Nothobranchius furzeri: one gene and its partner. The protein of the gene in region 1 interacts with the protein of each later gene in a pairwise test. Links are inferred from orthologs where the notes say so. Each region holds a gene or a part of one and is shown on either strand. Other genes may lie near its edges.

The links.
Region 2: the proteins of znf277 (region 1) and gngt1 interact in a two-hybrid assay, tested with the Homo sapiens proteins (3 studies listed by BioGRID and IntAct). The two-hybrid records come from large-scale screens. The link is inferred for Nothobranchius furzeri from reciprocal best matches to the Homo sapiens genes ZNF277 and GNGT1.

The regions. Positions count from the first base shown.
Region 1 is NC_091744.1:55,284,202-55,288,130, forward strand, and holds the start of znf277 (zinc finger protein 277), read left to right. Parts: upstream 1-1,366; 5' UTR 1,367-1,429; coding exon 1,430-1,517; intron 1,518-1,683; coding exon 1,684-1,897; intron 1,898-1,970; coding exon 1,971-2,059; intron 2,060-2,162; coding exon 2,163-2,245; intron 2,246-2,568; coding exon 2,569-2,660; intron 2,661-2,722; exon of another isoform or gene 2,723-2,824; coding exon 2,825-2,935; exon of another isoform or gene 2,936-3,225; coding exon 3,226-3,358; exon of another isoform or gene 3,359-3,929. Other genes in the region: immp2l (mitochondrial inner membrane protease subunit 2), read right to left, coding at 331-376. UniProt on the Homo sapiens protein: Probable transcription factor. Involved in modulation of cellular senescence; represses transcription of the tumor suppressor gene INK4A/ARF, perhaps acting via the Polycomb group (PcG) complex PRC1.
Region 2 is NC_091751.1:27,157,279-27,160,423, reverse strand, and holds gngt1 (guanine nucleotide-binding protein G(T) subunit gamma-T1), read left to right. Parts: upstream 1-1,434; 5' UTR 1,435-1,585; intron 1,586-1,660; 5' UTR 1,661-1,663; coding exon 1,664-1,759; intron 1,760-1,872; coding exon 1,873-1,998; 3' UTR 1,999-2,441; downstream 2,442-3,145. UniProt on the Homo sapiens protein: Guanine nucleotide-binding proteins (G proteins) are involved as a modulator or transducer in various transmembrane signaling systems.

The DNA of each region.
Region 1 (3,929 bases):
AGGAATAAAGGCAACACTTTAAAGAGGACAAAAGCAAAATCCACCTTTTGGATATTTTCAGTTTTACTCTAAATATGAAAAAACATGTCTATCCATTTTCTTTCACTATTTAGTTTTAAGAATTATTTACTTAAATTATCTGTTTCAAATTTTTTCTCAGATTGTGACATCACAAAAGAGGAAAGCTATATAAGATCTCTCCAGAGATGTTCAATCAGATTCAAGTCTGGGCTCTTGCTGGACCATGTCCTACACAGAGTTGTCCTGAAGACACTTGATACCATGGCTGTGTGCTTTGGATTATTGTCCTACTGAAAGATGAACAATCACCTCGGTCACTCGGGAGCAAGTTTTCATCCAGGGTTAGTGTTATCATCTCTGTGCATTGCTATATTAATCTTCCCCCCTGTCCTGACTAGTCTCCAAGTTCCTGCTGTTGAGAAAAATCGCCCACATAACGATGCTGCCACCACCGCTAAACCTTTACCGATGGGAGTCGGTTAAAGGTTGTGACAAGAACATTAGTCAGCATCATATCTGGCTTCCTATTGGCTGGGGGACTTTAGGCAGGATTCGCGAGAGGAGGGCACAGAGGGAAGGAACTGAAGCTGAAGGACTGAGGACATTTGTATTAGTTTAAGGGCAGAAGAGTCCATTCGAGAGCAAGTGAATCGGAAAAAGGGACTTCAAATGTGAACAGAGAGCAGCAGAGTAAGAATGAAAACAACGATTAATGCCAGCAAATCGAAAAAAAGTATAGCAGAATATTACTCCCGCAGACAACCGTCCACTTAGCAACTTTTTATGCTTCAAAGAAAGCATGAAACAGAACCGAGCTAACACACCTACCAGCAGCGGAACTTCCGTCCTCTTGGTGTCTGACCCACAGGGTGATCTTCCGGGTCCTAAAGCCGCCGTCCTTATCAGCCCTTCACTGTTCACCAGAGACGCCCCAATCCTGTCCTACAAACAAAAACATACCGCTGATATGACTAAACTAGGGTTATGGTTTCAGACCTTAAGGCTATGCTACTGATTTTACAGATTCACGTGTGAAGCATGGGCTAATCGAAAGCAAAAACATCATGTTGAATATTTCTGATTTGATCGTTTGGGTGAATGGTTTGGCTGCTACATGAAATATAAATGTTAAAATACACAGCAATACAAAAGAAAAATAAAAAAATTCAGCTCTGTTGTTTGAACAAATTGTATGAGACCGGCTCCCGATGACTCCTTTCTAAAAATGATTTAATAAAACACTCGTCCGTGTGAAGCAGAACAGAATTCTCATAAACCTGAACATCTGTTGGTGCAGAGTGTTTATGGAGCAGAACATCTGGAACAGCAGCAGAAACTTGTGAGGAAACCAACACGGAGTTGGCACCATGAACGCTCCATGTGAAGTTTGTGGTTTTAACGGAGGAGCATGAACGCGCCGCGGACAGCTCTTTGCTCTTATTGGACCATTACTTTACCACGTGACAACATGGCCGCCAGTGACCGAAGTAAACATGGTATGTTGAGTTTTAAATATATTTTAAGTGCCTATTGAGAACTTTCTGGACCCATTTCTGAATATTCGGCTTGTTTAGAGCACCCGCTATGTGGGCGGCGGTTCGGACCGGTTTACGGTCACTAGCTGTTCGTATTAACCGTCAGGTCCACATGTCTTTTCCTTAGGTGAGGACAGCATCCTGGAACCGCTGTGTTTTCCAGACCCGCCAGCTGGATGCTCCAGCGCTGCCAGTTTGGAGCGGCCCAGTTCGGACCTGCTGGTCTGTCTGTTCTGTTCAGAGTCCGTACCCCTGCTGCTCAAAGACACTCTTCTCAGACACCTGGTGCTGGATCACAAGCTGGTGATCGCTGATGTCCAGCTCATCGCAGACCTCTCAAAGTACCAACCCATTCCGACTGACCAATCTAAAGTCCGATGTAAAGTCTGGTTCTGATCTGATTGTTTCCAACAGGTACCTGCAGTACTGGAAGGGCCGGTTCCTGGAGCAGCCGCTCACAGAGTTCTGCAGTGTGATTAAGACCAACTCTACTGGACCACTGGGTCAGTTCCCATACCAACAGAAATGAACACAAACTGAGTCCAACCTCTAGAAACGGTCTAAAGGAGGTCCTTCAAAGCTGATGACACGTCTTTGTCCCCACAGAGAAACAGGAAGACTACTTCCTGTTATGTGACATCCTTCCAGAAGACCGGATCCTTAGAGAGAGACTCCAGAAGCAACGACTGGTGAGACTGGTTCAGACTTGTCTTGGTCCACTCAGCCAATTAACATGTACTGAATAATGAACTGTGCACATAAACACACTCAGAGCTGCAGCTTTCCGGAGAACAGGTCACATGACTTAATCTCCGGACTCCAGGAGCATCTTTGTCCTTCTGTCTTCTATAAGTAGTGTCCACTAGTGGTGCCTTCAGTGCTGCTCTCTGTTAGATCCTGTATCACACATTACACACATGCAGGATGTACGTACCTGGTCATACCTGGTCAGGTGGAGAGTACCTTTACTCTGGTTTTTGTTTCCACCATGATGAGCATTTGTCTTCTACAGGAGGAGGTCCTTGAGCAGCAGCAGAAGGAGAGAGATGACAGCAGCTTCCATCATCTCTGCATGTTCTGCAGCGAGGAGTTCACTGGAAACAGGTTGTCCAAATCTGACTTCCTTTAGTAGAGGTGTTTGAAATCACTTTAAAGGGACAACCCTGTTTTATTACTACTTTTTTTATTTGACTACGTAGGCTCATGGATGATGGTATCAGTGGGTCTTAAGACCTTGGAGTATTTTGAACAGACTTTCTGGGTTTTAGGTCATCTTTGCTGAACCACATGGCAAGAGAACATTCCTTCAGCATCGGCCTTCCAGACAACATCGTGTACTGTGATGAGTTCCTGGACACCCTGCAGAACAAACTGGACTCGTGAGAATCAAATCACATTAGGTTTACTGTCGTGTGGTGCACATGATCTCACACCTGTTCCTCGACTAGATGTCGCTGACACTTATGCTAACTGAGGCTGGTCTAGAGAGGGTAGAAGTGCTGCCCTCAGAGTGACCGGTCTAATTTCAGCTTTAGATCTTTTCTTTAGTACGGATGCAGGTTTCAGACATTCTGGCGACACAAATGAAACAACTGATGGCTTAAATCTGTAAAAAATGATCTAAATGTTAAAGAGGGCATCACAAAATGTGTCATTGTTTCTGTTTCAGCCTGCAGTGTTTGTACTGCGAGAAAACATTTAGAGATAAAACCACGCTGAAGGATCACATGAGGAAGAAAACTCACAGACGCATCAACGCCAACAACCACGACTACGACCGCTTCTACGTCATCAACTACCTGGTAACTCCACCTTCTCCTTGCTGCGGTCATCATTACTCATCAGTTACAACCGTTAAAAATGTTGTTTGGCGAGGCGCAGTAATTAGCATAACCATAGCGTCATGGTGTTCTTAGCATTCTGCCCTCTGACATCCCAGAGTGACTCACTGCGGCAAAAGTTCCGATCAACTCATAATTTACCGTTTAGACGAGGGACTTGACGCTATTTAACATGAGTTTTTATTTCCAGTTTCTCGTAGTTTGCAGCAAGCAGAAACATGCCTCCTCAAATGTGACAAACAGCAGAGCCTCCATGACTCAGTGTCACGGTCATGTAGGTCAGTAAAAACCGCTCTTTAGGGTCGAAGGTCTGAATCCCAGCCGGGTCTCTAGTCTCCTGGCCAGTCTTTTGGGATAGGCTGCACCTTCAATGACCCTGAGCCTGATTAAGCAGGAGCAGAACCAAGAGGACCAAGGTCCTGACATGAACGCTGTCCCTGTCTTCATTGGACTGCTGGAGGTTTATCAGTCCATCAGCAGTAAACAAGTCCTGACCCCTGGGACACGGTGTTTGGTGGTGCTTCAGTGGGTT
Region 2 (3,145 bases), on another chromosome or scaffold:
CCGCCAACAAATACACACACACAGGCTCACAACAGCATTGTGACATCATAATGTACCAATTTACATCATAGCATACCTCTTAGCCAATAGCGGTGGCAGATTTAAAGAGCAAGTCACCCCTTACAAGAAGCGTACTTCACTCCCACTTCATGTTTGAAAAATGCAACAAATGCTGTTGCCTAGCAGACCGAGAGGGTGGAGGCACTAACAAATACACACACTCACGACATTGTGACATCATAATGTACCAGTTTACATCATAGCATACCTCTTAGCCAATAGCGATGGCAGATTTAAATTCAAAAGCAGTGAAGAGTTTTTACCTGACAACGGCACAACACTGACAGTTTCAGGCAGAAATTTTAAATTTTAACTAAAATGCACTAAAGTGCTAAACTATTGACTACACGTGTCTGCAGCATGATTAGACACACATTTATATAGTTTATCAGAAAAAAGTAGTTGATTTGGGGGTGACTTGCTCTTTAAATTAAAATACAGTGCAGAGTTTTTACCTGACAACGGCACAACACTGCCAGTTTTAGGCAGAAAATTTAAATTTTAACTAAGATGCACTGAAGTGCCAAATTATTGACGACACGTGTCTGCAGCACGATTAGACACCCATTTATTTAGTTTATCAGCAAAAAAAAGTTTATTTGGGGGTGACTTGCTCTTCATAAGCTAGCTTGTTTAGATGGTTTGCTATAGGGTTAGGGTAAATGTTTTTGAATGACTCACAGCAACAATAAAACCATGTTTTACGTCTGTAAAATTTGTGGAATTCATGTTTGGGTTGTTAAGATTCCCAAAATTGCACATTCTGAAGTGGATTGCCTCCAAAAGTTAATCAGTTATGTTGGTGATTGAATATAAGTCCACTCCTGAGATGATGTACTAACAGAAAGGGCCGACTTCAGGGAAAACCTGACGAGAACCTTTGATTTTGAGTCATCAGTTAGGTACGGAAGACATTTTAAACCTATCAATCAGCTGATGTACGTCCACAAAAGACCTTCAGGTAAAACATCTGGCTGATCATGAGATGTACAAGCAACGTTTTCACCCACTTTTTTATTTTGGTCATGCACAAAACAAACAGTAAAACTTTTTTCATGGACATTTTTTATGATGTAAATATTGTTTGTTTCAAACTTTTGGATGTGAATGGAAAACTGCCGTGCAGTCATGTTTAGACCAATGATACGCCTCCACCTTGACAGGTAGAGGCTAAATACAGATTAGCCTTCTTATCAGAATGATCCGATGCATGAAGCACCACCCTTTAACCCACATTCATCTGCACTCAGACTCACAGTCAACTAAAATTCTGATTTGTTTGTTAAAAGACAACAAATATATGTTTTAAACATGCAGACAAATCCAAACAGACACCTGTGTGATTCACAATCGCCTTTGTAGGCAAACTTGAGCTACACGGCATCGTTCTTCAATGGGGCTTCTTTAAATCAGATTAGCAGATTAGAATTGTTGGTGCAGATTACTTTATAACCCAGATTGAGAGAGGGGAGAGGGATTCTTCTGCAGGATTTTGGCAGTGAAGGACTGTTGCCTGTGACCATTTGTAAGTCTCATTTGAAACTCTATTTTTAATATTTTAACATCCTGAACATGTTAAGCATTTCTTTTGCTTTGACAGACGATGCCTGTCATAAACGTGGAGGATCTGACGGACAAGGACAGGGCTTTAATGGAGGTGAACCAACTCAAAGTTGAAGTCAAACTTGAACGGTGGCTGGTAAGTTCTTTACACTGACACGATTAAAAAAACGCACAATAACAGCAATCCTTTTAAATCTGTTGAATCAAAGAGCAGATAGCTTCATTCAACGCTCCCTCTTGTTGTTTTAGACGTCTAAATGCTGCGAAGAAATCAAGGACTACATTCAGGCGGGAGTGGAGGAGGACACCCTCGTCAAAGGCATTTCTGAGGAGAAGAACCCCTTCAAGGAGAAAGGTGGCTGTGTCGTCTGCTAAAAAAGACCTGGGGAGCTTTCTACATCTCAGATTAGCACCCAAGGACATTCTCTCTCTCCCCCCTGCAAAATGGATTTGCAGAAGGAGACTAGAAGGACACGATAAAAAAGAGTTCATAAAACTGAATCCCTATCCTCAGGCCAGATCTGTAGCCTTATAACCTTATTCTTTGAAAAGATGCAATAAATAAGTTTATTTGGCAAATGTGAATGTAGTCTGGGCAAACGGGTGTCTGTGTTGTTCAAACACTGAAGCAGCTGTCATTATATGTGCATGTTTATAAGTCAGCCTGTCTCTGTGATTGCCTCGGGGCTGACAGAAAAGTTAGCATTCATCTCCATAACTCAGTTTGCACGCATTCAGTTGCCCCAACTTTTTGTCGTAATATAATACAATATGCTGCAGCATAAATCACAGGTAAAAATAAACTTTAAAGAACTCCCTGTGTATGTATTTATTTATTTATTTCTCATATGCAAAATTTTCTAATATTCCTGCTTTGGGGTAGATTACAGGAAAACTTCGAATGCAATACAAAAAAACCTTCAGCGTGTTTATTTCAGTGCTGAATAAAGAAAGAACCACTGGAATGAAATCAAATGGTCAAATGAGTTTATTTTGTCAGTAGAGATTCATAAAGCTATAATTTTGATTTTGTGTTTGAATTTATAACCATCATAATATTAACCATCATAAATAATTGTGGCTATCATCACTCTAATTTTATACATCTTAATCTCAGTGGCGATATTTTGTTGTCACGACAGGAATAAAGTAGAATAAATCACTCTGCACTGAACAAAGACATAAATGCAACAAATACAAAATTTAATTGTGTACCACATTTAAAGAGCAAGTCACCCCCCAAATCAACTTATTTTTTCTGATAAACTGTATAAATGTGTGTCTAATTGTGCTGCAGACATGTGTAGTTAATTGTTTTGCACTTGAGTGCATTTTAGTTAAAAATCGAATTTTCTTCCTAAAATTGCAGTGTTGTGCCGTTGTCAGGTAAAAACTCTGCACTGCATTTGAATTTAAAGAGCAAGTCACCCCCAAATCAACTTTTTTTGCTGATAAACTACATAAACGAGTGTCTAATCGTGCTGCAGACACGTGTACTCAGTAATTTGGCACTTCAGTGCAT